3 linked regions of the Drosophila melanogaster genome follow. Changing the gene in region 3 together with the main gene of any one other region gives a genetic interaction. Each region holds a gene or a part of one and is shown on either strand. Other genes may lie near its edges. The genes, in order: Lim3, lab and vvl.

Region 1 (10,188 bases), on a different chromosome or scaffold from region 3:
AATCGAATCGGCATGGCAGCCAGGACTCCAGCCTTCTCAATGCAGCTGTTACTCTGGTCCGAGGAGTAGGCCACCAAGCGGCCACGCACCTCACTTTCGCTCAGCTCCGGATGCGATTCCCTGTAGTTGGCCACAGCTTGTTCCCTGGCAGCTAGGACAGCCACCAACACAGCCTCGCTAGCTGATCCCTGGATCACCCCGCCTCCTGGTCCATCGCTGGCGTGCTGGAAGTGTGCGGGCAGCTTCAGGAACTTGGCCAGCCAGTCCATGACCACCACCTCCAGTTCTGTGCAGGCGGGACTGCAGATCTGTGGGGGATTATACGAATTATTATGTAAGAAATTATGCATTGAAGATAACTCCATCCGTTTGTAATACACTATTAAATCCGGAATACATACATATAGTAATTTTTACAAATATATTATAATTTAAACTAGGGTTTATTTCACTAAGTTTTTGTTCGGTGGTAACTTCTTTGTTCGCAATGACAAATATTGTTTGCGAAACGTCTAGTTTGGGTTTGGCTAATCAATTCTATATACATTTAAATTTATTTGTATGCCTTTAAGGTGAGTCTGCTGCCCAATAACTTTTATTTGGTGACAATTGCCGATTGATTTGTGTGAACAACTCTCTTCGGTCCGGTGCAGTGGCAACCTGTTTGTCGAGTTCTTGGATTCACTTTCACCCACCGCGCACAATGAGCGCCCATTCAGCCGGCCAAAACAATGGGCCAGAAGCAGCAGCAGCAGCAGCAGCAGATTTCACCATAAACCAACATACCCAGCTGAATCCGATGACGCCGAACCCGCTGGCCAGCATCTCGCCCACAATGGAGGGATACGAGGTGCTGGTGGGGTAGTAGGCATGCATGTGAGGCGACTGCCAGTGGGTCAGTCCCGGCTTGATGACGCGACTAATGTCGCCGAGGACATCCTTCCACGCTTCGGGCTCTTCCGGCATCTCTGTGGGCAGCAGGTCCAACAGATAGCCTGGCTCCACATTGGGCAGTACGTCGTCATCCCGAATATTCTCCAGATAGTCGGCTATGTAGTCAATGGCGGCCTTGCCGAATTCCCGAAACTCCTTGGCATCCATACCGCTGACAATGTTGCGATATCGTTTTCTATTTGCACTTTTTACGTTCTGTTTGTTTTGGTTTTATTTCCCCGTTTTCGTTTTTGATTTGTTTGCCCAACTCGATTTCAGTTCCCGATCCGTTGATGCTCCTCCAAGTTGCCTGAGGTTCACTCTGAAACCGATCGCCGGTGACGGCTGCCTTTTATACTCCGACTTCTCTGGACAGCCTCCAGAGCTGTCGGTTCAGCCAATCTGGCTAGTTTTGAGAAATCATTAAAAACCGGCGCAACTGACTTGTTTTATTCTTTTGATCTAACTAATTTAGCTTTGATTCGTTGATACTTTAAAATTCAAATGCGAAGTTTGTTCAATTAACATAATCAAAACATTAAAATACTGTTGAAAGTTTATAGAAAGGAGTGTGTACTATTTTATACTACTTACACAAAGGGGTATATAGTAATAGGTTTATTCTTTTATACGAGAGTGCCATTCAAATACTTTTTTTTTCAATTTAGCTATTAATTTCGAAAATACCTATATCCGATTGCTCTGCACAGTGATTTGTGAAGCGTGTCCAATCTGCGAGATTAGGGAACGAATCGGTCACCGGGATTATAGTTGGGTTCGTATATTTCGTGCCATATATTTATAGAAAAACAATTACTTGGCAATTTTCTTAATCGTTGAGTGCCTATCTCCTGAGCATATTTATCGCATAGTTCTTTGAATCGATAAGGATTTCTCAAGTGTTGCGTTGATTTGGCCAAAAGATTTTGTTACCAACGACACTCGAACAATAGCTGGTGGGAAATCACTTTGGGTCACAAACTGTTCCCACTTTTTTGTTGGTCGGTTGGCGCTCTCTTAGCCCCTCTCTCTTAGGCAAATTGATGACAGAAATTATAGTTTTAAAACCAATTGATTATTGTTGGTTGTTATTGTTGTTGACTCTAATGAACAATAATTGTAAATTCACGTGTGAATAATTTAAGGCTCTTAAAATGAAACTCTTTCAAATTTGTCTCTTTATCACAATAAAAAGTAAAAAAGTTCAGTATTAATAGTTTTTAATATATAACGATCATAAGCTAATCAAACGTGTATATTCGCTATATTTATCCGAATTTAATTATCATGGCAACACTTTTCAGATACAATTAGTTTTTTTAAGTAATTATATGAAATTTAAGTTTTAACTGACCTTTTTTTTTATATCATTTTTCTAAGAAAACACAATGAAGAAAGTTGCTTATGATTGTTCTTCCACATTAATTCATTCACATTCACGCACGTATTTAATATGAATATTCATTTAAAAAAAGGAGAATCTGCTGGATTTTTTCACCATTTACATATGTATATAGCTTACCCAACTGAATCCAAGGACTCCGATGCCCGCGATCAGCAGCTCACCGATGATGGAGCCCGCCGACGAGGATGACGGATAGAAGGCATTGAAGTAGGGCGATTGCCAGTGGGTCAGACCCGGCAGGATGATGTTCTCCAGATCCTTGAGGACCTCGCGCCAATGATCGGGCTGCTCGGGAATCTCCTTGGGCAGCTGATTGATCACCGCATATGGAGCCGTGCTGGGCAGGACATCCCTGTTGGAAGAAACACAGAATTTAGAGGCATCGCTCCAAGGATAAAAGTCCAGACACACACCTCTCACGTATGCCGCTCAGATAGTTGATAAGGAACTCGATGGAGGCATGGCCAAATTCACGGAACTCATCAAAGTCCATGATCCTGGTTAATCCAAAAAAAAAGGCGCGATTTACTTTGGGGGGGAATTTGGGTATTTAGCCGCTCCGCTGGTTCCGCACTTGTTCACCGCTGACATTCGAATCTACAAATGAGCTGGCTGCGCTTTAACCAAGTCTCAATGAGCTCCGAATCTCGAGACCCTCCAATAAAAAGTTTGGGGGGGAACTCCAACAACGTTAACAAAAATCCGGCTATGTGTGAAAATGTGCAGTGGCAGCAAGTTTTTTGTCTTTCTGACTGGCCCATTGCCGAGATTTATGTTTATGTAACTACCAAAAGACACAATAGCGAAAACAAGATCGCCGGACAAAAGTTAAAAATGTCGGTGAAGAAAATTTAAACAAACTGCTTGTTAATTGTCTATTAAAATGTGTTATCCAAACACTAGCACTGCTGCTTACTAAATCTCCGCCATCCCCCCCAAAACCCACTGCCGATCCGGTTCCATATCATCACATCATCAGCAATTAACCGTCCCAAGTCGAGCCCATTTGGCAAAATACTTCATGTGTCTAACCATTAACGGCTCCATTAGACAGACGTCTGCGACAAAAGCGTTGGAAAATTTGAAAGTCAAAGTCGATTTGGTAACCGCGGAAGTGAAGCTCCGCCTGGGATGCCATAGATTGGGATCGCGTTGGATTGAGTGCATCGGTTTCATCAGCCATTTCCATTTCCATTTCCATTCACGATCAGTTTCAGTTTCAGGGTCACGCTGCATTTTTATGCTCTTACCCTATATTTTTTTATAATCGGTACTAGTTGGGTTCAAGGGTATGCCGTGTTTTCGTGTTGTTCCGCACGCGTAACGAAAGCCCAATAAGAAAATGCTGAATGTTTAATAAAGGAAATATGTAATATAGTTTATACAGTTTATAGTTTAGCTTCTGTGTAATAGTATCCAATATATATTACAGGCAAGCTGTAAATGATGATGATACAAAAGTCTTAGTATAAGTATGAAGTAATACATTTTACAGCATAAGATGGAATCATGTTTTTTTCTAATATTTATACGTACTTTGTATCTGGCATTTTATGCAGACTTTCTCAGACCGGGCATACTTTTCGAGCGACCCACGCACTCCAGCTGTTCGCGTTCCTTGCTCCGCCGCAGCGCGGAACCCAACCCACAAACGACCTTCCCTGCTAGTGTCCACTTCGGTGGGTGGGCGGAGGTCATCCGTTGGGAGCGGGGGCGTGGGGTTCTCGAGCATGGCGTTGGGGTTCAAAGTGTTTGGCAAAGTATTTGGCGCGCTCTAAGCGGCTCATAAATAAATGCGAAAACAAAATCGTTTTTGCAGACGCAACGCATTTAAGGGGTTTTCGGGACGGGTGGCAAGTATCCACTATAGATATAGGGGTTCCGAAACTACACAGACAGCGAGAATCCTATGCAGATACAGCGAACTCATGGGCAACGGGTGACTCGGGCATGGAGTAGCAACTTCCCCCCTCTCCCATCACCCTGCCAGCTTTGGGTTTTCGAGTGCGCCGGCGCTGGAACGACATCGAACTCTAGGAATAGAAGCGTATGGCCACCCCAGCCCCATTTTAATGGCGACGCTGGGGCGATAAGATAATGGCCACTGCCTGCGCATGCCTGGAAGTTCTTGTTGCTTTTGGACTCTATCGTCGGCCGATTTCCAGCGATTTTCAATATAAAGGGGCGGTGCCTGTTTTCCAGTGGAGACCCCGCATTTTTGGTGACCGCGCGCCGCGTATTGACTTGGACCTTTGAGTTAAGTTTCTCATATTTGTTTCGCCTCAGTCGACGTCGCTGCTGACTTTTAAGTGCTGTTTACTGTTGTTTTGGGGCCAACGAAGGTGTCGCGCTCGACGTTGGTTGGCTTTTTGTTCTACCCACTGTGCTGTTTTCCTTTTTTCATTTTTTTTTTGCCCCTGCACTTTTGCAGCTCAAGCTTCTTGAGGCAGAGGGAAACAAAAAAAAGTTTCCACACCTTCTTTTTTCGACGAGGCTAAAGTTTTTGCGTTTTACAAATATTGTAATGCTCTTGGAATTTGGACTTTTCGGGCAAATGGGCATCGCCAGAGAGCGACACACACATGCGCACGGCCTCCAAAAAGAAGCACAAAAATGTTGTCGCTGCTGGCGTTGTCGCCTCGCCGCCTTGTTGCCATTGTTGTCCTGCCATTCAGGGCTGGCTGTATGCATTTTACCATATCATTTGTGTCACATTAGGATCAATTGGTAAACACACGCCCGCACACCCGCACACACCCACAGATAGTACGTATACGCACGGCGTACCCATGTGGGCGGCCAAAAGGCAAACGGCAAACGGCACACGAATACAAGACGAAAGGCAAAAAACAAAAAAAAAAAAAAAAAAAAACAACAGCGTTAAAAGCTCGCACAGTCGAGAAAAAGCGTGAAAAAGTGCGCAAAGTAAAAAGGAGAGACGACAGTTTGGACGGCCAAGAAAATAAATAAAGATGCAGCGCGGCAAATAGAGGGGATTCCCACCAGCAACAATACCAGCCGCCTGCCAGTGTTGCCGCGTCCAGGGTTGCCGCCGTACCGTTACCGACACCGTTACCGTTTCCAGACCGTTACCTTACCGTTGGGCAAACACCGTTAGCCATGCCGCCGCCATTTTGTCGCACTGGCTTCGCATTTGCCGTCGTCGTTTTCGCTGCCGAATCCGTTACCGTTACCGTTAAAGTTGCCGATGCCGTCGCCAAAATGGCGTTCGCATAAAATCGCGTTCAAGTGCCGCAGAAAATTCAAACGAAATAATACGAAATGTTGAAATAAGAAAATTAAAAACCAGCCAATAATTAACAAAGTTAACAAATACTAGAGTTGAGTGTTAAAGTGACGCAAAAAATTTTAATAGGGTAAATGCAAATCATTTCCACTGGTTTTACGATTCCGTCGCATAACGAAAGGCTCAATAAAAAGGCTAAAATTCTGAGGAACTATTGAAAAGAAAGCCAGCTTGATTAAAAAATGGAATGTTACATTTTAACAGTAGATCCTTAAAACAAAAAAGTCTATTGAGCAAATTGTGTTGAGAAGAGTTACAAAACCAAGATACGTTTAGGATTTTAAAATGTTTAGTATATGAATTTTAATACTAACACGATTGGATTTTGTTTGTTTTAAGATTTAAGGCAATCAAAATAAGATTAATGTGCGATTTCCAACTCCCGATGTTAGCCATTTTAATTTCAATTTAATCTTAGGAGCTTTGCTCCTAAAATTAAATTTCTATAAAATAAATTTCATAGTATTTTGTTTCATTTATATATGATCTTCAATCTTAACTAGTTTCCAAATACTGAAGAACTATTAAATGGAAATTTCCGATTAATTATTCTACGTTTTAATATTTCACAAAAAATAAATTGTTTACCTATTTTGTTTGTTTGAATTTCTATAAAATAAATTATCTTCAATCTTAACTAGTTTTCAAATACTGATAAACTATTAAATGGATATTTGCTATCAAATATTCTACGTTATAATATTTCACAAAAATTTTTTTTAACTATTTTGTTTGATTTGGGAACCATTAGCAGTTCGTTTTTGATAAAAAAACCTTGGACATTGACCGTTTTTTGATAGATAGTATAGTGCACATCCGATTTGTTGTCTTCGCACGAGAATTCTCCTCGTGATAGACGATGAATAGATATGCGCCAAACGGTCTTTTGAATATCTACCGATCAGTTTGGCCCTATCCTCGGCTTACATAAAGTTTACCCGCCTTGCACTTGGTCGAAAGCACCCGAACAATAGATGGTCTAGTGTGCCCCGGTATCGCAAACAAATTCAAATTGTTCAAGTCCCTGGCTACTTCAACTGATAGAGCAGCCGAGCACTGAGCACGAGCCCAACCGAGTGGCAAGACTGGAATCTAGATTCTACCGTAGAAACCGAAACCCAAAGAGACCGCCGCGATAAGGGAAAAACAGTCAACCGGGCCACTGTTGGGCACAAACCAATGCCAGTTATCGAGCAGACAGCGATCCCGCCTAGCGGAGTCTCGTTTAGACGCTAAACGGGAAACGAGTGCGGTAAACTAACACAAAGATTGCTTTTTAAACACCAAACAGGGCTAAAGATACAAACGTGTGCCAATTGGAATAAGCTAACTGAAATATACATATAACTCATACGACGCGTGTTCAAATCGCCGGCCCCTCAGCAATGATGCAAACCCTGAAACCACCGCCACCGCTACATCATCACCACCAGCATCAGCACCAGCTCCAGCATCCGCCTCAGCAGCAGCCACATCCGCATCAGCAGCTGCAACATCCGTTGCAGCAGCAACAGCACCTGTCAGCCATGGATAATCACCAGCAACATCAGCCGCATATCCATCAGCAGCAGCAGCAGCAGCAACAATTGCCACCCACGCCGCAGGCATCTCACCTGGTCGGTGGGCAGCAACAGCAGCAGCAACATCCGCACCACAATCACCTGGCTGTCGACCAGGATGACCCAAATCCCGAACTGGTGCTCGCCTTAATTTCCAGGAACCGGGCGCTCGAGGGTAAGTGGCCAAGTCATGCCATCTTTGATTCAGTCCTGTCCATCTGAAGGCTGCCTAGGAGATTTTCCTGCACAGTGAACAAAAATGTTTGCCAAGAATAGTATATTATTAAAATGTTTGGTTTTCAAACTTAGATTACATTTTTGAATTTTATTTATCAATTTATCAATTTTTGAAATGAAAGAGAGAATAGTCGTATTTACATTAAAAAATATCGTGGTTTCTTAATTTTGCTTTAGTAAATATTGAGAATACAGTTTTCATGTTAAAACCGTATATTTCACTTCTGCTGTAAGTTAACCCTTTGAATACACTTTGCCCATGTGTTGGCCGCGCCTTAATTATGCAAAGTTTTTGTTTGCGCTCGCCCTTTGTTTTTATGAGCGACCAGAAAGGTCTTGTGATGAAGATGAGTTGGGGTTATGAGGTCGGTCTTTTAGGGTCACATAAGAGCCTTGCGGTTGGCCTGGCTTTGGCTTTGGCTCCTCCGAACTGGGGCTTAAGTGTTTTTCAATTAAATACGAAAGCTTTCCCGGTGGCAGACCACCATCTTCACATCTCCACATCTCCACATCTCCGAGCAGCTCATTTCGAATGCCCTTTTAGGAGGGCTCAGTGTTGCGGCTGCTCGGTTGGACCGCCTGCTTTTTTATGCACTCCGCCACGGAATAAATGTATGGTCCGAGGGGACTTCCTGCAATATATATAACTGGCAAAGTTCCGGCAGAAAGTTTTCTTTGAGGATATATGCATGGTGAATGGCTCCGAAGGAGATGATTTATTGCTGCTTGAGATGGCTCAAGGATGGTCAAAGGGATTTCTTTGTGCGAGTTGCTTATGATCCAGGCCTGTCACATTTATGATTTCGTTTCATACATGTGCCGCACTCGAAAATCCCACGCCAAATCAATCGGCAATCCCCGGACTAAAAGCCAGCCCAGAAAGTTGACAACTGACTGCGGATTGGAGTCGAGTCGAGTCGCGTCGAGTCGCGTTGAGTCGCGTCGAGAGTGGAGAAGATGACATCGGACAGGGACACGCGCCGCTGATGAGAACAAAGCCGTAACCAAATCCAATGCGAAACTGTTGACAAACTCCAAATGTCTCCGGCATTGTTGCTAATGCGCTGGGAATACCCGGTCACCAGTGGAGGCGGTCGTCCACTGCACGTGTGTTCCCGGCCGAAGTTTTCGGGCATTGAAAAGAGCAGGCTCAGCCGTTTAGCCATTTTCCCGGCTTCAAGTGCGGCGGGATTTCGTTTTTAGAACACGCGTAATTACAAACAAATAAATATAGATTCCTGGGTGGAAAGGAGGGGGGGGGGGGACGGATCCGGGAAACCGCATGTGCTGGGACCTGCGGATCGCCTTGGTCGAGCCTTCGCCACGTGTCACTAATATCCACTGCATCCCTGACAAAGTGCGTGCACTTTGGAAAAATCCAGTAAGTCGGGAATGACTTATCCCGTTTTTGGTAGAGGTCCAATTTGAAGCGGAACGGAAAATCTAAGGTATTCTTAGTATAATATATTATTATAATATCAGTATGATATCTTAAACACCTTAACCAACCTGAACTTTAATCATGATTAAATCTGGGCACATTTCAAGGGAAAGGATTGGAGTTCTGGTTGACTACACACTTCATGAAACTGGAAGTTTTAGTAATGTTGAATCTTGTTTCTAACCTTCATGTTTCATTTACTGCTCTTTTGTTGCAGTGTAGTTGTGTACTTTTCTCGCAGTGTAGCTGGGCTGGGCTTAGCTGGTGTAGCATGGCAGTTCGTCGGTGTCCCAAAGGACTCGAGTGACGTGTGCCGGGCGATGTGCAAAACGAGCAGAAAAATTGAATTATGCGCTTGCGGTGCTTCTTTCGAACCCATGGAACCCCTGGAACCCCTGAAAACCCTGGAGCTGCCTCTGCCTTTAGAGCCTGCCCTACCCCGAAGCCAAAGTCCGCCCATCACCCCGCCCATCACTCGTTTCGGGCAATCGACAAATATTTTGTTATTTGCACATAAACATATTTATCGAGTTTGGGTTTGGTTTTCCTTTCGCTTGTTTCAAGTGCGTACGCGCACCAGAAAAGCGAAGAAATGGGAAAACTGCGGGGAGGGTGTGGTGGAGGGAGAGGGGGAAGGGGTGAAGGGTACGACTGTACCCACGGGTGTTTTGTTTCACCCGTTCGCCCGTCAAAAATTGTGTAAATATGTTTATCATTTCCACTTGCCCGGCGCACTTAGTGCTCGGCAAACAGACGATCCACCCCGCTGCCAGGACCTCGTTGTCCTTGTGTCCTGTGTGTGACTGGAATTCTTCCCAACGCACTTGTCGCTCAACCGCCGGCCGCGTGTCCTTCGTTAGCAGTTCTTGTGTGGCTTTCCTATTAACGTGCCTACAGCCCGAACCACCCCCTAAAACCCCCCACCACTCCAAGTCCTTCTAAGCGTATCCGTTTTCGGTTTGTTCCCCCTTCCTTCCTTCCCTCTTTCCTTCCTTCCCCGCGTTTCCGGAATGGGTTCCGGCAATTGTTGCCTTTGGCTTATGTAATTTGTCATAATGTCAACAGGCGCAGATCACGCAGTACAAGCAAACACTTCACTCGAGAACTGATTGTCCATTGAAAAGGCTGAACGAAGTTTGGCAAGCCCATCATTTGTAGTCGAAAAAGTGATTAAGTAGATGACTTTTTAAAAGAGCTCAATTCGCTTTGAAGATATTGGTATGTTTTGTGGACTGGATTTGCCGGAGGTCAATATTTTTATAACTCAAAAAAATATATTAAATGGAATAATAAATCTGTATGCTGC
Region 2 (10,210 bases), on a different chromosome or scaffold from region 3:
CTGCACAAAACCGAAAGCCCAGGAAAGAAAACGAAACAAAAAAAAAATGGCACAAATATCGATTTACCAAAAATTACAAAGGAAACCCGAAAAGTACCGCCAAGTTTTGTTCTTGGAGCGGTGACAGTCGGCGCCGGGCAATCCATCAATTTGGTTGCAGTGCCAATTACGCCAGTTACTCGTCACGTCACGTCTCGAAAACCGGCGGACAACGGACAGTGGACAGCGGCCAACGGACACCGAAAACCGGACAGATACGGGCTGCCGTGGGGAGACACCAGAGCTGTGTAGCAAGAATCGTATCGAACGGCGGCACTCCAAGTTCCAGAAGTTTTGGAGCTGTAGCTGCGGCGCCCCCATCAACTTGGCGTCAGCTTGTGGTCAGTTTTCCACTATTCCGATCGGCTGTAGAGGCTTGTCGCCTCTCGGGGCTGTTGGGAACGTCATCTAGCCCATATATCTTACTTCCGACGCTTTCATGGCGCTAAACAGACGTTGATGGCGCGACTTACAAATCCCCCGAAACCTATAAGGTGTGCGACGGGCACTTGACTGGACATTTATATGCACTAACGAGTGGTGTGGAAATAGCTTTTATGGTTAATCGATTGTGATATGATGAACTTTACAGATATACATACATTTATATTGGGATTTGAGTGGATCATAATTGATCAAAGCTCTATCAGATCATGATCAGAAATAATACAATTTTAAGGGTAATCAAATCAATGTGATTTACGAACGGTAATGCGTATATATATATATATATTTACATATATTACAATACTCAATACTCAATGTACTCAATATGTATGAGTACATGTTTTAATTTTATTTTTGAGCTTTTAATTATGTATGTATGTTTATCCTGGAATATTTTTAAATATTGTATGTTTATGTTATAGACATAGGAGTGTTGATCTCCCGCGCCTACAAAAAATACTAGAAAATATAGTTGCTTCGAATTGTCAATTCAAATGGGAATTCAAATAAACAATAGAAACCTCTATCGTAAGATATCGATACATATTACAAGACTAGCAAGCAAATTTAAAATATCAAAAAAGTTGGCGTGGGAGATTTTAAAACATTTAAAAAACAAATTTGAGCTGCGTCTTCGTCTCTCGGAAACGCCTCCTTCTGCCTGTTCAATCATTTACAACGTATCTAGTATAAAACCTTTATACTCTACGAGTAACGTGTATGAAAACAACTAATTAATAATTTGTACTATTACAAAGAGTTTTACATTTTAAAAAGTCATTAATTTACCATAAACATAATGCTCTCATTACAATGGATTTACACAAAAGTATCGAAAAATGTCTTTATACTACTTCAGTCTTAACGTAATTTTATGATAAAAGAAAAAGCAGAATATATATAACTTGTTTATTGCAGCAATATGTTCGTGTAAGAGTAAATACATAGAGAAAGTAAATTAACGGCTTCTGCCGTATGTACATAAATATAAATACTTAAACTTTAATGTTAAAGGCAATAACATCTTTGAGTTCTCAATTACGATTGTTAAACAACTTCATTACGACAAGAAAGATTGGCTGAGGGAGGAAGTATTGCATAACACCCCAGGAACTGTCAAAAATGATCCCAATCCTAGCTGAATGCTAAAACAAGGATACCTAAGCCTTGCATGTATTTCGCTTTAGCCATGTGAGATAGTTTCAGGCTTGGAATCGGGATTGGGCCGTGGTATGTTAGTTGTATATGTACATACATATGTATGTGATTACTGAAAGATACTCGCACACATCCTGTTACTATTAATTGCTGCTGTCCGAAAATATAACAAATCACCTTGGAGCGTTGGGCAGGACCGCCCGAAAGGACGAAACGAATGGCCACTCCAGCCGACCTCCCCCTCCGAAATTCCCCGTGCGAGTGTAGAGACAAAAACTTGTGAAAATGTCAATCAAGTTGAACAAAAAACGAAAAATTCCCAATCCGAGAGTGGAAGGAGCGAACCTCGAAGTTTTCCAGACAGCCAAAGATGATGCATTGTGCGTGAAAGGTGCATGAAGATATCTGACGGTTGTATCTCTATCCCTGCCAAGTGACAGACCCATACACCGGATAACTCTTAGGGGGCGCCTACGAATTGCATCCCACTGAGTCAGAGTCAAGGTCCGGAGATAATGTCAGGATTCGGGGTCTGTCGGGGTCGGGGAAGTCGTTCGACGACGATTTAAATTCAACAGTGCTGCCATAGATGAGCTGTCATATGTGCAAATGACGATTGACAGCTGCCACAGTCAGCATCCGTTTGCAGCTCCTCCTGGTCGCAACCCCGGTCCGCTCCCAAGCCGAAAACCCATTCCGAGTGCCCGGTTCGCATTTCCAATCCCATAGCAAGCTCCTCTTCTTTACCTGTCCGTCAATTCATTTGGGAATTTCGAGGTGCTAAAACGTGCCAAAACCGCAAAACAAACACACAACATTGGGTTTCCAGTTAAAACAAGACGTCGACATGAGCATGGTCAGGGGCGTAACTTTCAATACTATCAGCAGGCGGCAGGGGTGGATTAACTTGGACACGAACTGGGCCCAAAACATGTGCGAAAAGATTTTCGGGGCGAAGAGTTGTCTACTATTTAGTATTAATAAATACACATTTTATAAAGAGAATTTAATTACACTTGAGAAACCATTCAGATACTTTTAACAGAGAGTACTTTAAATAATACCTATATAAGGAATTAAAAACAATAATAACAACAACAATTTTTTGGATTAGAGCATAGTTTTGAATTAGTTTAAATTAGAAATAAATGGTCTTTATATTTCCCGACTTCCATATATGGCGAAGAAGACTTCGAGTAAAACTATTATGATGATAAGAAATAGTAAGTTTTTCTAATTGGCATACGGGAAGTGAATTGTCAATTGGATGTTTCAAAACATTTTAAGTAAGATCTAGAACAAGTTTCTTTAAAATGCTTAATGTTCTTAGGTGGACCGACGATCTATATAAGTGTTTCCCATTAATAAGGATCATTTTAGAGATCTGATCATCCCCAGCCAGTTCCACACCAGCTCATTGCATAATTTCAAGTTCCTTCATAGAACTCCCATCTTGAGTAGCCGTCAATCCGCTCCTGCCATGGCGACTAGCAAAAAAAAAACGAGCAAACAGGGAACGAGAAAATCTAAATGGAAACGGCAACTGCCAAAAACCGGTAGTTGAAATACGGGTATTTGTATATACGTATGACTAACCCCCGAACCACTGATAAGGGCAGTCATCCGAAGAATCCCAGGGAGCGAGCGAGACGGCAGTCGCAACACGTATGTAGCACACACGAGAGGAAGCGGGACCACAGGCAGTCTGCAGAGGGGCGTGGCCAAGACCAGCGGTTGTGCGGTCTGAAAGAAACCGGGTTCGGGCCAGTAATCAGTCACGACTTGGTAAGCGCGCAGGCAGCACGTCGTCGTCGTCATCGCCAACGGGAGTCGTGTTTTTCGGTTCGATACAGATAAAACCCACGTCGATAGCCCTCGACCGTCGCGTAATATTCTTAGAAAGCAAACAGCTAAAGAACTATTTCAAGAACTGTGTGGCAAGTGAAGGGTAGTTAGTGATACACCGGTTATATCGGAGTGGCGAGAAAGTGTGGTTCCGGCTGGACAATATGATGGACGTAAGCAGCATGTACGGCAACCACCCGCACCACCACCATCCACATGCCAATGCCTACGACGGCTACAGCACCACCACCGCGTCGGCGGCCAACGCCAGCAGCTACTTTGCTCCGCAGCAACACCAGCCCCACCTGCAGCTGCAGCAGCAGCAACAGCATCAGCATTTGCAGCAGCCCCAGCAGCACCTCACCTACAATGGCTACGAGAGCAGCTCCCCAGGCAACTACTATCCGCAGCAGCAGGCGCAGCTGACACCACCGCCCACCAGCAGCCACCAGGTGGTGCAGCAGCACCAGCAACAGCAGCAGGCGCAGCAGCAACAGCTCTATCCGCATTCGCATCTCTTTAGTCCCAGTGCGGCGGAGTATGGCATCACCACGAGTACGACCACGGGAAATCCGGGCACGCCGCTCCATCCTAGTAGCCACTCTCCGGCGGACTCCTACTACGAAAGTGACTCGGTGCACTCGTACTACGCTACCGCCGCAGTGGCCACAGTTGCTCCACCCAGCAATAGCTCACCTATTACCGCCGCCAATGCAAGTGCCACCAGCAACACACAACAACAGCAGCAACAGGCAGCAATCATCAGCTCCGAGAACGGGATGATGTACACCAACCTGGACTGCATGTATCCCACGGCCCAGGCTCAGGCTCCGGTTCACGGATATGCCGGCCAGATCGAGGAGAAATACGCCGCCGTCCTGCACGCCAGCTATGCACCCGGAATGGTGCTGGAGGATCAGGATCCAATGATGCAGCAGGCCACGCAGTCGCAGATGTGGCACCACCAGCAACATCTGGCAGGCAGCTATGCCCTAGATGCCATGGACTCGCTAGGAATGCACGCCCACATGCATCACGGCCTGCCCCACGGACACCTGGGCAACTTGGCCAACAATCCGCATCAGCAACAGCCACAAGTCCAGCAGCAACAGCAGCAGCCGCACCAGCAACCGCAACATCCGCAGAACCAATCCCCAGCGGCACACCAGCAGCACCACCAGAACTCCGTGTCGCCCAACGGTGGAATGAATCGCCAGCAGCGCGGGGGAGTGATCTCCCCGGGTAGCTCCACTTCCTCCTCCACCTCCGCCTCGAATGGAGCACATCCTGCCAGCACGCAATCAAAGTCGCCAAATCATTCCAGCAGCATCCCCACCTACAAGTGGATGCAACTCAAGAGGAATGTTCCAAAGCCTCAAGGTAAGTTGAGCTAGAAAGTAAACTCGGAATAGGGTTTCAATGGTTGAAACAGGCTCAAATTACTACGTCCCGAATGATTTTATTCCGTTTTTCTTTCCTTAAATAATCGAATTTTTATTCCCTTCTTTAAGTATTTTAGAATTATATAATAAATAAGGTAAATATAATAGAATACTGACACAAAAAAATGCTCCTACTGATATATTCTCTAAATAAATCAGATGAATATATAGGGTTCGGTTACTTTAAAAAATTGAATTCTCTTTATTTATTTTTAACACTGATCAAGTAGTCGTTTGATATTAAATACCTAATTAAATGCTAATTGAAACTATTGCAAATTTATATTCGTGGACATTTCGAATGACGCGAGTTGTAGAGGCGTATAGTGAAAAGGTCTTGTTGCAAATTTAGAACCAATAGATTAACCCAAGTCGTTTTATCAAGCGCTACAATTGCCTTCTTTCCTTGTGAATGGATACAAATACATTTAATTTGTGCAATTTTTATTCAAGTTGTTCGCACATTCGCAATGTCTGCATTCTAAGGGCAACTAAACGCGTCTCATTAGGCAAAGTCTCTGGCAATTAAGAAACCGCATTCTTAGCTAATTGCCATATTTTAACTCTTATAGTTCTCTAAACTCGTATAGTTCGCTCAATAGATCACATATAGCTTACGGAATGTATTAAGTTAATCGGACAGTTATTATGGAAAGAAATACACACACTTCTATACATACGTATGGTGATTTTTTTAAGAAAAGCATAAGAAAGAACCTCAAGTAAATACCAAAAAGCGTAAAACGATGACTTTCAAAACTGATTGACAGGCCAAGATACAAGAATCAGTCAACCAGTAAAACCAGAAGAAGATGAATAAAACTGTGAAAGAAATGACGTCGAACGAGCAGATTAAACAATATTATGAGTACATTTATAAGTTAGAGAACTTGGCCATCAAGAATAGATTGATCATAAGTATGAACAATTAGCACTGCAGAAATATTAGCAAACATAAAACAAGTGGATGCGTCAGACAAAATGTCAAGAAAGACGTCCAACCGAGGGCATGTCACCTAAAAATATTCCTGTCTCTTCAAATGCCAAAGATTTCGCCCACCTCTGCCCTCGGCTCTACAGCCCCCGGCTACAGAATCTCGATTCTCCCCGACCTCCACGCCCCTTTCCGCCTCTCATAACTGTCGCCGTTCTCCTGGACTCTCCTCCTTTGGCACATTTCTTGCATATTTCAGATAATTTTGTCAATGCCTGTGCAGAGTCAGTCAGGTTGTTACTTGTCACATTGGCGAGTGGAGTTTTGTATCTCGGAATTAGCCAGCTAAGAAAATGTATTCGCTTTGATAAAAAAGATCAGAAAAGTCCATATTGTATGCGATAAATAAAACGTCGTCGATTATCCAAAAGAAGCAGCTGCCACTGAAAAAACGAGTATTTTTATTGATACTTCGTGAATTGCATAAAATTCGAGCGTAAGCCTTTAATTGCTTTTCAAAGAGTTTGAGGTCAGTCGAATAAATAAATAAATAGCAACTAACTGAATGGGGGGGCACAGGTGTTTATGGCTCACCCTGAAATTTGTAATATACGTAATTGTTGGAAAAGGTTGTAGAACAAAGTTGAGGTCGAGTTTTGAATGGTTTAATTTCTTGGGTTAAATATTTCTATTAATACAAAACTATACCAAAGAAAATTATATAATTTAAAGCATGTGACCATGCTGAAAGGTTTTTCCAATAAAACAAATTGTATTTATTTGTGAAGGGATTAGCTCCGCATTTGTTACCCACATTGCCATACTCCAGCCATCCTTCCAAACCTGTTGACCGAATTCATTTGGCCTGTGGGCCTCTTCTGGTAATGCACTTAACCTGTTCATGAATCGAGTTGCACAACTGACGCTGATCGCTGATATCGGAGCATCGAGCCTCGGACCACTTACAGTTCAAACGTTAATCCCCCGGCTACACCAATAATCATACAAATATTTGCTTATTAATGCTGAAAAGTGTCATTTACATGCATCGTTTTCAATTAAACGACGCCACAGAGGCCCGAGTCGAACGCAACCGATCCGAGATCCCAGATTCCAGATCCCAGATCGCCGATCCAAAATCCCCACGCGCCGCACCCAAAACCGAACCTTACAGCTCGAGGCCCAAATACGAGCCCAAAAGCCCCTCAGATGACGCGTGCAAGTGGAACCAGGCGCTTAGATGGGGAGCAGGGTGGGGCAGAGAGGTGTAGATTGCACAGAAAGAAAACTAATTGGTTGAAAATATCAATTGTTGTTTCAAAAATAGGGTATTACTCGCCCACATATTGATTAACTATCATGGTAGCCATCCTTAGGTTTATTTTGTATCAACAAAAAGCTATTTTATAAGATTATTCTAGCTGGGAAATTTTATAATTTTAATTTTAAGACCCAAGTAGAAGTTCTTTAGATTCGATTTCGAATATGGTTTTTCTCAATGTGTTCTAGGGGCGACCGCAAGTCAAACAAACAATTAAAGCGGCTGGGAGATGCAGCTCGAATCCAGAATGAAACTGGCTGCATGGGGCGGGGGCACAATTTGGGGGGCAGGGGCTGCTCCACGGCATGCCGAACTGGAACTGGAAGTCAAGTTGGCTGTCAGAAAAAATGATTATTTAAATAAGAGTCTCTCGTTTGAGCCTCACTGCAACCGAACTGTCACTGAGCAATGATCTGCTGCCTCGTGGCTCCCCTGGAATCCCTGGGATGCTGGGATGCTGGGGCTGCTTCTTGGTTTCTGGATACTGGATGCTGGGAGACGCTGCTCGCTGTGAGCACATGCTTGGGTCCATCTGTCATGTCATCCATTTTCAGGCAGGGAAACAGCATAATCAGCAATCGTGGTTATAAATGGTAGCGTTCGACATATTGGCATTCACGCACATACCGACTGGATGTCCGCTGACCAGGCCACGATTCAAAGAGTTCTCTAATGTGTTAATCAGCATTTTTCAGTAACCAGACCGAGATCGGTCGAGGTTGGAGCAGGAAGGAAGAAGGGGCTTGCTCCCATTGCCATGAAGATTAATGGACATTTTTACAGGGATTTGTCACTGACTAGAAATTGGTTTAAGATACACAAATACACACGTAGAACTTTCCACTTTTTCAGCTACCAATATCAATCAATGCGCGAAATCTCGAAAATACTTTTGGCAAGATTATGATGACACCTAGATAAAACTAAAATTAGCCAAAGTTGAAAAAATAAACCGACCAAGGAAACGAAAAACTTATCCATCATTCAAACGTCAGTGTTAAGGAATTTAGAAGTCTTTCGAACTAAACGTTTGTCCCATTCAAGTGGTATAAGCTGACACACAGTGTGCGAATGAAAATTAACTCAAACATAATTTGTATATAATTTGTTTTAAATTAAGTTGTAAAATATTTAGTATCTGTTTTAGTTAATTTCTCAACGTGTATACACTCCCACCTTATCTGATTATCTGCTATCTTCCGAATTTCTATTCCTTATTAGCACCAAACTAAAGTTTTTACGACCTGGTATGGTGATAATTTTGTTTGTTTTTATTAGCCTTTTGATGGGCGCTATCGTAATTGAAAAGTTCCCATCGAGGCGGGTTAGCCTTGTTGTGGTTGAACAGTTTAATTAATGCATGGCAACTGGAAGTTCGCTGCTTTTTCTGTTTCTGTTTCTATTCCTGTTCGTGTTATATTGTTTTTTAAACGATCTACCACTTTGTTCGTGAATTTCGCCCACTCCCCCGAGAGGCGGGTGGGAATTTCCACACGCGAAGCTACTGCCCAGAAAATATGAAATATGAAAAGAGCTGACAAAAGTGAAGGAAACTCGAATTAACATAAATGTTGTTGGAAAAAAAGAAACAGTCGAGAACTTTTGGCCAAAAGGCTGCAAAGGTGTTAGTTTTCTGGGCCAGCAGAGGTTCAGCGGTCAGCGGTCAGGGGTCAGGGGAGTGGCCAAAGAGGGGGCATTCGCTTGGTGTATTCAACATTTATTTGATGTGATGTTTTGATATTTCTTGACACCAACACGCGACGCGGACCGAAGAGCGACGAATGTGCCACAATGAAAACGAAATGAATTAATTACGTGCATTTCAAAACAGAAATTGGTAAGATATATAAACCAGCTAGCGGCGACCGAGAACCCCGAAACAAAGACCCCAGCCCAAAATGAGGCAGACTATTTAAATGAAATGATATTGTGGATAGAAAAGTGACCACCAGGAATGCGAGATAACATCAAACGCTTGCCCAAGCCCTGCCGAACCGAACCGCACTCAACCTAACCTAACCGAACCGAACTGAGAGCTCGACCGGGAGCCCCGCCCGCCTGTCTGTCACCGACGTCGTCATCGTCAGTGGCTGGGGCCTTTGCTGTGGTCCGGGTCACCAGTTGGTTAGGGATCGCAGCGTGAGCGAAGCGAGATCTAGAACACAACAATGATGAAAATATAGAACGATATGGTCGATTTAGTCGACTATCAGATACCTGTTACTTAACTACAGGTAGTGCTAGGAAGTGGGCGTCTTCTGGAACCAACTTCATCTGCGTTTGCATCTCGAGTTTATACAGACAGACATACGGACAAACGGACATGCCCCGAATATATATTCCTAATAATTCTTTTAAATATATGGAATTTTTCCTTCTATCCGCCTAATCTAATTATCAAATTGTCATTCAAAAAATTTTAGAACCATCAATTTAACATAAGGAATCTATCCAAACTGATTTAGCTATTTCGAAAATATATTTTTTGTAGTCAAGCCAGCAGTTTTATTCAAAGCAAAATTTAAATTGCCTAAAGATTTAAAAACCATTGTGTAAAATGGTTAGCAACTTTTTTGTTAAAGCCTCTCAGCTCTCCATCACGCTCCCATCGCTATCTTTGGTTTTCGTTCACCTCCTCCAACCTCAACCAAAAACAAAAAACTCCAATCCGGGACCAAAAAAATGTATGGCATGTGTCGTGACAAATTTTGTTCGCTGGCGCGCGCTGAGTTAACATTTTTGAAAGCGTATTATTAAATTTCTTTCCCCTCTCAATGTTTCTCGTTCCCCTTACCCGCACACCCCTCAGTAAGGGCTGGGGGGTCCAAGTGCGAGGGAAACCCCCGAATCCCAAGGAGCCTAGCCTTGGCCTTAGACTCTTTTGACCGATCAACGAATCGATTTGTTAGGCGATAAGCTCGGGTCAGTACTTACAATAATTACCACTTAAGTAGGACAGGAAAGGGTCAGACTCGGATACAAATCCCTATCGCCCTCCAAATTACTTTTGCTACTAACCGAACT
Region 3 (12,436 bases):
TGCGCAGCACGATCGCGGGGGTCTTGGTATCGCGAACTCCGGATTGGACTTTTCTTAGCCAACAACTGAACTAGTGGCTAATACCGCTGCCAATTTGCTTGCCAAATGCCGCCCCGCAGGTGCGGATCGAGGTGTAGAAACGGCAGCAGCTTATAAAGCCATTAATAACCCGCGCATTTTCAACAGTTTTGGCCAACACTGCGGACTGCACACATGAGACTTAAATGGCAATCCGCGGCGACCGCAGATCGGCGACAATGTCATGGTTCAGCCATCAATTGCGTTTGCTTATTAGAGAGATGTTTGTTTGTTTGTCATAGATGATGACTGCGAGGTTTGATCAAAGAGTTAGCGAAGTTTCAAGGATTCCAAGTATGAAGTTTTTTGAGTTACTACTCAACAATGTTTAGAACAGAATCGTAACAAACAGTTGGAATTCATTGTACAGATATGTTTCAAAATTACACTGTTTTTCTTTACCTTTTATTTACTTTCAACAATTATCACTTAATACCATAGAAACAAGCGGCTACATTTTAGTTGGGCACCTCTGCTTTGTAGACAAGTAAATACAAATTAACATTTTGAAAATGCTTTTAAAAGGTTTCCTTTCACTAGTTAAATATTTTGATAGCGAGCAAACTAATAGATTGCCCAATAAATCTGCCCATTTCTTCCAAGCTTTTCAAACGTCCCCTTGATGCTCCCTGAAGCTCACTTATATCTATCACTATGATCGTCCATATATAGCCTGCCCGCATTATTTGTCTAGGTGTCTAGCTGATGTAGGTGCTCCACAGTCGAAGGTGTCGAATGGCAATTGCTGCCCCCGCACCACAGAACCACCTTCAGCACCACCGCCACCGCCACCACCTTCACCTGTCTCATCCCAATTTGTGGCTTGTTTTACCTGCACTTTACACACAGTCACAGCTTAATTCGCTGGTGGGAGTATCTCCCATTTTACATATACATACATACATCTCATTTTTTTGTGGGTAGTTAAAAAGAATTTCCAACGCTCTTGACTTACGTTTTCGAGGGCTCCGTTAAGAGGCAATAAATTTTGTAATTAGCGCAAGGTTTTACAATACCAAACGCACTGATTTGGCTCGGAACGAAACAAGAATAGCCAAGTACACCTATATAATTTTATATACGCAGTACGTAGTACTTTCCAGCCGGATAGTGCTGTTCATTCGTCTTTTCTTTTGTTTTCCTTTGCACAAATGTCGCACACGAACGCACACGGCTAGAACTTTGAAAATACGAAAAAAACGAAAAGAAAAAAACAGAGGAGCGCGGAAAAAGAAAATGAAAATTCCCAAAGGAAGCATAGATAATGAGCACAGAGTCCCCGACACTCCGAATGTCAGTGGAAAAGTCGCCCAGCCGGAGCCAAAAGCCAAAGTCGCACAGAAGGAAAGTGCGGCCCAATCACAGGGGCGGATTTCACGAGTTCGGACCTTTAGAGAGCTGAGAAGAATATATTTCGAAAATTTAGAAATTAAATATTGTTTCGAAAGCTTACCAAGCTATTATGTATTATTAAGTTATTAAGTAAACTATGTTTGTAGATATACTATAATATAGTACATAAATATAATATTATTTAAGCGTATAATAATAATAAATTGGCAAGCGTAAAAATAATTTAATATATAAATTTTAATTTGATGCTTGAATGTTGTAATTTCTATAGTTCCCAAATTCTAAGCCCGGACCAAAACCCATAGTTAATCCGCTCCTGTGGAATGGTCAGTCGGCCAGTTCGTCAGTTGGCTTTCGGGTGACGTTGACTAGAGTCAGCCATTTTGCCGGAGTGGCGGCAGTAATGCCACAATGGCAATATGCCCGAGACCATTGTGGCCCGATTCTCCGTTACCAACTTCTGCTGCCGGTTCACCAGCTTCAGTGTCTCTCAGCTGCCGCCGCTGTAGCTTTTGTTTTAGCCATTGTTAGTGGAACGCTGGTGCTTTTGCGTCTGCTGCTGCCGCTGCCGCTTCTGCTGCCTTTGCAACATTTGAATGATTCTCGTTGGTCGTGTCAGTCCCACGGGTAATTATTGACACGGTTGTATGCACGCAGCCCAAAAAGCACACACAGTGAAATGTACAAAAGCAGGCGGCGTGTTGCTTTGCCACGCGAAATAATAAAAAACCAACCAACTCCACTCGAAATAATAATGAAAATGTCGGTAGTTTTGCCTCGAGGAGGGGTTTCTCTCTATAGATATGGTCGGGGTATATATATATATATACTTAAATATGTACATATGGGGGAGGGTGTGTAGGGGGTGTTGCCGCCGCTGTCGCACTTTGCACGCACGGCAACATTAAAACCAATGAAAACTACAATTTGCCCTCGTAGATTAGTGGCTTTTCTTTATCATCGAATAATGTGGAATGTGCTTTTTAACTATGGAGTGACTATAAAATGGTAGTATAATTTTCATTAGGCAGAGGAGAAAATAAATATATAGAGCTGATATATTCGCCTATTCAAATAGGCCATTAGGTAGATTAATCGGCAATATAAAAAGTCTAAAACTTGTGTGAGATAAGGAGTAAATAAGTAAAGATATCAAATTTATATAATATGTAATAAGTAGCAATATGAAAATACCTCATATTACCTCACATTTAAATACAGCAAATCCATTAGCCATGATTAATCAGTCAGGAATTTCCCCCAATTTCTTTTGGACAATCCTTCGAAAATCCCATAAATTCTTAAAGCGCATTTCAACTAGCACATGACCATTAAAAAAAAAACCTTTCCTTTCCGTTTTCCATATAAAAGTTTATATAGCCCGAGGGGCAGGTTTCATCTACACGAGTGGGTGTGTGCGTGTGTGTGTGTGTGTTCAACTACCCCAAAATGGCAGGTGGCAATAGATAAACGTATAAATAGGCTTGTGGGCAGCCATGTTGTTTCCCCATTAAATTTCATTTCATTTCGCCGTCTATTATTTCTTTTTTTTTGTTAGAAAATAATTAAGAGAGCATAGAGAATAATTATATGGGTGGATAATATAATACTGTCGATATTATATTGTTCAAGTGCATGAAGCGCATCGCGTGGGTGTTTTTGCTTAGTTTGGTGCGGAAAATATAATTTTCATTTTTATTTTTCATTTTCCGTACGCTTTATTGAAACATTATAAACCACGCGCGCCAAGAGTTCAATTTCAACAAAAATAACAACCGATATTTTCGTTTTGTTTAAACGGCATTATTGCCGTCGCATAAATATAAATCATTGCACTTGCGCTTCTGTACAATATATATTATTGTTATTATTTGTTATTTGTTACTGTTATTGTTTTTGGGGCAGTTGTTGTTTATATATTTAAGCCTAAAACTGGCTTTCAATTATGCGAATTTATTTCGCACACAAAAGCGAGTGAGAGGGCTCGGGTTATACGAGTATGTATGTATATGTATTTTTCGGGCTGATGCAATTTTTATGCAGAATTACTAACCAATAGCATTTCGGCACAAAATTGTTAATCAGCATCCAATGAAATATGCATTTAAATTATAAATTAAATGTTAAAAGCGTGCGGTACATTAGATGACAATAAGGCGGCCAGGGGGCAATGTGCAGGTGGAATGAGACGACTTTAATGGTATTTCATGAATTTGTTTTTCATTTTTGGAAACAACTTAAATTGTTAAAAATTTAAGGACTTAAACATAATACTAATACCTTGACGAATTGGGAAGTTTTGAATGATTTCTGCAAACGAAAAATACACCCAACTTATTTCGTAAATTAAATTGACCGCGTAAATCTGGCAAATTGTCACTTTAATCGCCTTTCGATTGACGTCGGTGCTCTTTTTGTTTTGTTCAACGATTGCGCATTGACCAGGGACAAACAGAGATCCATCAGGTGCTTCCAGCAGCACTTAAGGCCTTATAAAAGGGTAATTTCACGAAATGCCACGCTTTTTAATGGCAACTTTCATTAACGAGCGGTATTACTCGATCTGCGAGTTGTGTTGTTAGTTAATTGCCAATTGCTCCCTCTCTGACGTAGGCAATCACATTATAATGTGCCCACTTAATTATTTAATGGCTTTTCGAACACTTTAAGCAAACAAACGAAATTAATAATACACGCAATTATCGCGATTTCATCGATATAAACGCCCTATCGTAACCAGCATCTGCAAAAGGTGGCCGTAAAACTCCTGTAAAACTGTCAAAACCAACGACTCATAAACTTCACAACCAAAAAGCGGACGAAAGTAAATGCAAATAAATGATGCCGCTAATTAAATAATAATAAAAGGACGGTGCGTTTTTTTTTCGAATAATATTCTTTTTTATTTGTTTTTTTTTAAGAGTTTTTTTTTGCTTTTCAGTTTTTTCTTCTTGGTTTTCCTCGGTGTGTGGGTGTGTGTATGTGTAGGTGGAAATGCACCGCTTTGTTGACTTTGCTGTTGCATATATATGTACGTCTATATAATTTATTATACAGTTGAGGGCATGGCTTAATCTTAAATATTCGGCTTCGCTTCTCTCGCTCTTACAGCATAGTTTTCAACATACCAAAACAAAGTACACTAAACAAAAATTTCGTTAGATTCTATAATATATAAAGTTACACCAAAGGATAAGGTTTGATTTTCTTTTTAGGTTTTTGTATAAGAAAATAGAAAAAGTAGACATAAATGTAAACGTATATCAAAAAACACAAAGATGATTTTTTTTACACAATTTTCGTTTATTTTTGTTTTTGAAATAATTTCAAGTTTGTCGTTTAGCATTTAGTTTGCCTTTTGTTTTAATGTACATCAATTAATATATTACAATTTAGCATTTGTGGTATTTGATTATTATTGGTTTGTTTAAATTTTAAGATTTAGCTATATTCATTTTTGTTTTCCATTCGATTTCCTTTTGCTTATATAGAAAGTACAGTACTAAGTAACTAAACTTCACGTGCCTATTCATTAAAAATTACCGCCTAAAAATTAAAATTTATATTTTGTAAATGTTGTTTATTTTTTTTTCGCTTGTGGTTGTATTTTTAATGATTTTTCTCTTAGGGGGGCTTATTAAAAAATCTACAATTGCATTTAAAGCTAAAAAATATGACTTAACTGTAAGTTTTTATTTACAGATGTTTTGGGGTTTTCTCATATTTTACTTAATCCTTCCTTCATCTCGTATTTTTGTTTACTTCGCCGCGCGTTAAATTCTACGTTTTTCTTTTTCTGTTTTACGTTCTGTTCGTTTATAGATGTTTTAGAGTACAATCTACTGGCTATATATATATAATATATATAAACACGGCTTGCTTAAGAACCTAGACCCTATCTAGAACCCACCGAGTTCTCCCACCGCTGCCTTCTTTCTCATTGAGCCTTTTTTTTACTTGATCTAAACGGCGACAAAGTGTTGAACGAAAAAATATTTTGTGGACTTTTGGGCATGGAAACATTTACCTTGCTTATGGAGAGCAGCTGAGGAATTTGTTTTCTTTGCTTGTCTTTTTTGGTTTCTTTAACACTTGGGTCGCACTTTTAACTAGTTTCTCTGTTTTTTTTATTTTCATTTAGTTTAATTTTTTAGCATTTAGTTTTTAGGTTAAAACAACATCACTTGGTTTCACGTTTGATTTGAATTGCGTGTTTCTTTCGCTTTTATACAAAGGAAATGTTTCGTTTACATTTTAATTTAGTTAATTTGATTTAATTTAAGCAAGTTTTTCAAACTTTAAAACAAACTAAAATGGTGGATGGCAGCCTCCCCATCTTCTCCACCTCCTCCACTCCCTGCTCCTATTTAAGCTGAAGTTTAACACAGATTAATGCACTGGTAAAAAAGATGATTTCTCAACCTCATCGACGGACCTCATCTTATTTCTATTCTTTAAAGATTTGCATACAGTCGAGCTTGTCTAACGTGGAACTCAATATGGTTCATATTGTTTAAGTATATATGTTTAAAATGATTTTTTTCAGTCGCCAATTTAGTAACAGATTTTAAGAACACTGTGAAATGCTATTTTCAAATTTTAAAAAACCTCAAAACACCGCAGAAATAAAATATTGAAAAATTTCAAAAATATTCTTATGACTTACGAAATATTCTGAAATGCTCACAGCTAGTTAAATTTTAGATAGCTACTTTTGCGATCATTCGAATCGAACCAACTGAGTTCGCGTTAGAGAAGTTCGACTGTACGATTCTAGGGCTGCTCCCGCTTGAAATGCGGCCACCCATTCGACGCCGAATCCTAGGAGGACTCATAGCCGAACCAGGCGGCCGACGAATGCTATTCGCCACCCGCTCCGCCCGCCCCGCCAAAGCTGTTAAAGTGCCGTACCGCTCCCGGTGCCGCCGCCGCTCCAAACTGCAGACTCAACTCGAAGAGTCGGCGGGCGTGGAGCTGCTGCTGCTGCTGCTGGTGGTGGTGGTGCTGCTGGTGATGGTGGTGCTGATAGTGGTGGTGCTGGTGCAGCGGATTCAGATTGAGATGGCCACCAAGCACCGAGGATGCGGATCCGGCCGGCGAGGCGGAACTGGGCGGCTGGAGTGGCAGGCCACTGTTGCTGCCGGCACCCGGTGACAATTGGGAGTTGCTGCTGGTGCCGCCGACGGTCTGCTGCTGCGAGTGCTGCAACTGATCGCTCGTGTGGAACAGGTGCGGATGGTGGGCGGGATTCAGGTGCGGATGCTGGTGCGGATGCGGATGCGGGTGGTGCGGATGCTGGTAGCGCATGGGATCCATGTACATGGCGGCTGCTGCAGCGGCTGCTATGCTGGATGCCTGCTGTTGTTGCTGTTGCTGCTGGTGGTGTTTAACTTGCTCCTCGTTGTTATTGTTATTATTGTTATTGTTGGTGCTGCTATTGTTGTTGTTATTATTATTATTATTGTTGTTAGCCTGATTGCCAGCGGAGGAGCTGCCCAGCGGACTCTGCGGCGACATCACCTGGCTGGTCATCGTAGCCGATGATCCCGCACTGGAGGATGGTGTATTCGGTGTGTGCTGCTGCTGCTGATGTTGCTGCTGTTGCTGGTGTTGCTGCTGCTGCTGTTGCTGCTGCTGCTGTTGCTGCTGGCTTAGACTATTGAGGGATGCAGGAGTGGACGCAGCTGCAGCTGAGTTCGACTCCTGGATTTCTGATTGCTAGTGGGCCGCCAACTGATGCGCCGCTACCGCCGAGGATTGCATATTCTGTGGGCTCAGCATGGGCGGACTGTGCGAGTGGGAGTGTGTGCCCATCGGACTGCCGTGCATATCGTGATGCGGATGATAGCCACCATGATGCATATGGCCCGGCGGCATGCCGTCCATCATGTCGCCGCCGAGCGTATTTGGCGGCGTCATGCGCTTCTCCTTCTGCCGCCGATTGCAGAACCACACGCGTACCACCTCCTTCTCCAGCTGCAAGGAGTCGGCCAACGAGGTTATCTCCTGGGCGGATGGCTTCGGCTGCTTGTGGAAGTGCTGCTCCAGTGCCCCCTTCACGCTCACCTCGATGCTGGTGCGTTTCTTGCGCTTACGCCCCTGAGCGGCGATCTTGTCAATGGACGTGGGTGAACCCGTTGTGGAGTCCGCCTCCTCCAGCCACTTCTGCAGCAGCGGCTTCAGCTTGCACATGTTCTTGAAGCTCAGCTGCAGTGCCTCGAATCTGCAGATGGTCGTCTGGGAGAACACATTGCCATAGAGAGTGCCCAGTGCCAGGCCCACATCGGCCTGGGTAAAGCCCAGCTTGATTCGGCGCTGCTTGAACTGCTTGGCAAAGGCCTCCAGATCATCGGACGTGGGAGTGTCCTCCTCGCCGCCGCTTATGGCATCCCGATCGCCGCCGCCCATGTGATGGTGTATGTGCAGCTGTGGCGATTCCCCGCGCAGCGTATGATGCAGTGGCGCCACACTCTGATGATGGGCCGCTGCAACCGCATGGGCCGGATGATGGAGCATTCCGTTCATGGCATGATGGTACTGCAACGGTGACCCGCCCGTTGGCGCATAGTGTCCCGCATGGGGGGCATGCCAGGCGGCATGGGGCGAGGCCATGCCCTGTTGGATGCGCGTCTGCTGCGAGAGATGCGACATCTCCTGCTTGACGGTATCAGCGGCCGAGGCAACGGCAGCGGCGGCGGGCAGATGGTGCGTATGATGGGTTTGCATCCACGGATCCGGATGGAGGGCACTCCATGAGCCCAACCCGGAACCGGAACCCAATCCAAGTCCGCCACCATTGCCCTGGCCATTGGGCGATGGCGACGAGGGCAACTGATGGTGGGCAGCTGCCGCGGCAGCGGCATGATGATGATGATGGTGCTGCATGTACTTCATTTCACCGGCATCAGCCGCCGAGCGCGGCGACGAGGTGTGATAGCCACCGCCTCCGAGGGCCATGTCCAGATCACCGCTCGGCGGCGTCATGTACGAGGTCGCGGCCATCCCCACCGCTCTGGGGCTGTTCAGGCCCTCCACGCTGGCGGGGTAGGGCTCCAAGTTGGGGCTCAGTTTAACGACTTTGTACACCGATCGATCGAAAGGAAGACCAGGGTCCCTATGCTCATTCCACTCGAACCGTGAGGCAACCGTCTTGACGTCTTTTACGGGCAACGTGGCAGGCGCAAAAATATTCTATTTCGCTTATTTTGTTTTTTTTTGGGTTCGACGTTTGCTTTTTTGGGGGCGTGGCCCTCGAACGCGTTCAACAAGTTTATTTCAGCTTTGGGTTAAGTAAAAAATCCGACGGCAATTTGCTTGGGGTTTCACGTTTATTTAGCTTGACTAGCGTTGAGCTAACTGCGTTTTATTTGGTTATTTATTTAGATTTTTTTATTTTCGAATTTCATTTAGCACTTCTAACACTTGGCACTTTTTGTGGCGATTTTTCGCAACGATTTAAATCATCGATAGAACTCAGTGGTCAGAACGCAGAACTCTGATATTCAGATACAGATTGAGATTTCTCGAATGTGTGTTTCTACTGGGTTGCTTGACCGATTCGATGCCGATTGAGATTTGAGATTGTGTGTTGTGAGATTTGAGCAGTCAAGACAGCCGAGAGCCCAGGGAAAATTCACGTGCAGACTCGTAGAGCTATCGAAGTGAACTAACGTCATGTCTCGCACCGCAGCTCTACGTTGAGCGCTCTCGACGCTCGGCGGTACGTCACACCGATACGTTTACGCACACCAACGAGCGCAGTACGCACACACACCCCGGCGAGCGAAACCAGTTTGTCCGCTGGCCTTCCAGCGTTCCATGTGTGCGAGCAGCACCGCCATTGGTGCGGCAAGCGAGATAGACGCTCTACCGAGCAACTGGAAGGGAGACTTGCGCTCTATTGGGCTCGCTGTATTCCAGCGTTACGCCCCCAAAACCAACAAAAACAAAAAAAATATATGAGATGAAAAAATAATACCAGAGCCGGCTCTACGAAGTTCCCTCAGTGCATTCCCATGCAGAGTGACATTTTTAATTGCCCAGTGCCCAGTGCGAGCGAGAGAGGGCGAGAGATGATATGAACGGCGACGGCGCATCTCTCGATTTCTTCGAGTCCAGCTATCGGGAACACAGGGATTACACGTAGTGCCATCTCCCAGTTGGAGCTTTTGCGTCCAGGACTTCTCTCTCCCGTTCGGGGAGCTTTGTTTCAGTTCCTTGCAGCTCCTTGGCCAGACAACTTTTCCCTTGGCTTTGTGAGTGTGTGTGTTTGTTTGGGAGGGGGGACATCTGGAGTGGTTGCCATTGCGATTTGAAGAACATATTACTAACGTGGCGTAGAAAAGGAATTAAACAAATAAACAGTTTAAATATTTAACTATTTATCGTTCATCCAAAAAAGTGTGCATAGTAAAAATATTTAAGAGCAAATAATATTTGATTATCAATATGAAAAATAAATAAATCTTGAACTTGAATTTGGACAATTCAAATTTCGCTGAATTCTGTTGAAAATATTTTTTATATAGACCGTGTCCCATTAAATATTTAACCAATGTGTTATATAAGAAAATCTTATTTGTATTTTTTCAGTTTATAATATGTGTGAGTGAAGCTTAATTAAATTAAAGAAAGTAAATTAGTGTTTAGTATGAAATGATATTTAAAATTTTCGTTTAAAAAAATAACCATTTTACCGATGAATATTTTATAATTTTCTTTTTCATATGCATATAAGTTTCGTTTGGCTGCCTACATAAAATATACCTTTCTTTTCCACCTTGATATCTTTCTTTTGCTCATTGTGTTTGTGACTGTGTTTTGACTGCTTTACAGTTAAATTATGTTTCACTGACAAAAGATATTGATTCACTTCATCCGTCAGTTTCATTGATTCTATGATCAGTTTTGCGAAATTAATGCGAAACTAGCGATACATTTGCATAGCTAAAGGAATTGCCATCGTTAAAGTTATCATTGGAATACTGACTTTTGTTTCTGGCTGTGCAGTTTTAAAGTTTTTTGATTTAGCGGAGCGTTATGGGACAATGCGAAGAATCAAATGAAAAATATCCGTAAAAGTTTATGTTTCCTAAAACAATGAATGAATGAAACTCTGCACACAATCAATGGAAATCTATTTCGCCTTCAAAGCCAATTGCCGTCAAATGTATATATGCAGACATAAAATAGCTTATTTAACCAAATTTACCTTTCTAAAAAAAAAATTACTTATTATTTTCCCACTATTTCCCTTAAATATGTCAACATATATTCAGAATTTTCCCACTTAAAAAATATATTTAATTAATGCATAAAATGTTCAAAGCTACCCTCTCATATATTTTCTCATTTAATAAATCCTGGCACACATAACTAGCCCAAGAATCCCATAAACACCCACCACAAAATACTTAGCATAGTTTTAGACCCCTTTGAGGCAGGTCAAGAGCTCAATCAAAAAATTATGCAAACTAAGGTCATCCAGCCGAGCAGACGCAAGCCAGACAAGTTCGAGCGTATTTGCATGAAATTTGTTTACGTTTTTTTTTCCATGACCATATCCTTTGGCCACGCACTTGGGCATAATTAATAAGCCAAGCGTTTCCAACCCAAAAACCCCAGTGACAAAATAAAGTCACAGTCATTGTTGGTCCTTAGACAAAAATTTACATGATAATTAGGTGGCGGCGCTAAATAACAACAGCGAGTGAGTAAAAAACAAAAAACAAAAAAAAAACGCTGGTATTTAAATTTCAAATGTCGAAGCGAAGGAAGAAATCCTGTTTCTGCTGGCCATCCTCCCTCGGTGATTCTGTCACTTTTTTCTGCTTTACGTTTTTTTGTCCATATGCTAAATGCGCACGCGCCGCGTTTTTGGTTTTTGTGGCCAGCAAAGGACTTGTTGCATAATTATGCGCCGCATGCGAGTAAATAAAAAACGATGCGATGGTAAAAAATGAGCAGGAAAATATACATATATATATACAACTAAGCGCTGCGTTTATGAATGGAAGATATCTCGTGGCGGCCGCGTCCACGGCGCCGTTGATTTGGATGATAATGAGCTCGATTAGCATTTCGGCTGCATTTTTATATGGCCATCTACCATCTACCCGTCTCCTTCTCCGGTCGGCTGTCTCTATCTCACACCTCGTTTTCGGGCCGCACTTGTTTATAATTATTAGCATAATTTTCTTTCTTATTTTGCATTAATTTGCCATCCCGACCGGCAAACGAGTGCGAGTGCGAGCGAGAGCCGAAAACCTCAACGTCTGCTTTGGTAATTAAAGTGCCATAATTTCCGAATCAAAACATATAAACTGGTCTGCTTTTGATCGCTTTGTTTATCGCGCAATACAATTAATGCACACTCGCTCACACACTCGATAAGTATGCGAATCTCTATATTTGTGGGGGGAAATAAAACACGTCGACTAATTTGTGGCAAATGCAAAGTAATTTTATCGGTTTAAGCTGTATTTAATGCATTTGAACAGGATTTTCGGCATGAAGAGCATTATTTTATTGCATATGCCACTCGGCACAGTGGGTGTATATCTTTAAGTGTTAGTCGTAACTCTAATTTAAAAAAGGCAATTAAAAGCAAATTAATAAAAGCTATAAACAAACAAAGAAGTTTTAGCTTGGGCACAAGTTAATGTGTTCTAAAATTAATATGTAACCTTAACTAAAGACAGAAAATCCATAAGCCATCTAATCATTTGAAACATGATTCCCTTCAACCATTAACAGATAATACGATCTCCTTTTTTGAACGTTAACCCTTAGAAGCCCAGTTGATTTGATAGGTAACCCAAGGAGAATCGATTAAAACTCTCGCATTCAATTAATCCCTACCTTGTCCTACCTACATCATCTTCAAAGTAAATTTCATGCAAATAATCCTAGCATCGTCCTCCCAACCCCTTGCCATCCTTTCCATCCTTCACCCCAACCCCATTTCCGGATCTATCTATTTTGCTCATTTGCAAACAAACGTTTC

What was found.
Region 1: of vvl (region 3) and Lim3, changing one enhances a phenotype caused by changing the other (phenotypic enhancement), as found in Drosophila melanogaster (one study listed by BioGRID).
Region 2: of vvl (region 3) and lab, changing one suppresses a phenotype caused by changing the other (phenotypic suppression), as found in Drosophila melanogaster (one study listed by BioGRID).

The regions. Positions count from the first base shown.
Region 1 is NT_033779.5:19,102,914-19,113,101, reverse strand, and holds the start of Lim3 (Lim3), read left to right. Parts: upstream 1-4,674; 5' UTR 4,675-5,715; intron 5,716-6,826; exon of another isoform or gene 6,827-6,936; 5' UTR 6,937-7,030; coding exon 7,031-7,379; intron 7,380-10,188. Other genes in the region: amd (alpha methyl dopa-resistant), read right to left, coding at 1-308, 787-1,101.
Region 2 is NT_033777.3:6,671,790-6,681,999, reverse strand, and holds the start of lab (labial), read left to right. Parts: upstream 1-3,409; 5' UTR 3,410-3,653; coding exon 3,654-4,869; intron 4,870-10,210. UniProt on the Drosophila melanogaster protein: Sequence-specific transcription factor which is part of a developmental regulatory system that provides cells with specific positional identities on the anterior-posterior axis. Required for proper head development.
Region 3 is NT_037436.4:6,786,823-6,799,258, reverse strand, and holds vvl (ventral veins lacking), read right to left. Parts: upstream 9,102-12,436; 5' UTR 8,434-9,101; coding exon 7,150-8,433; coding exon of another isoform or gene 6,205-7,149; 3' UTR 4,318-6,204; downstream 1-4,317. UniProt on the Drosophila melanogaster protein: Binds to a DNA sequence element required for the expression of the dopa decarboxylase gene (Ddc) in specific dopaminergic neurons. Could also play an early role in specific ectodermal cells, and a subsequent role in the embryonic nervous system.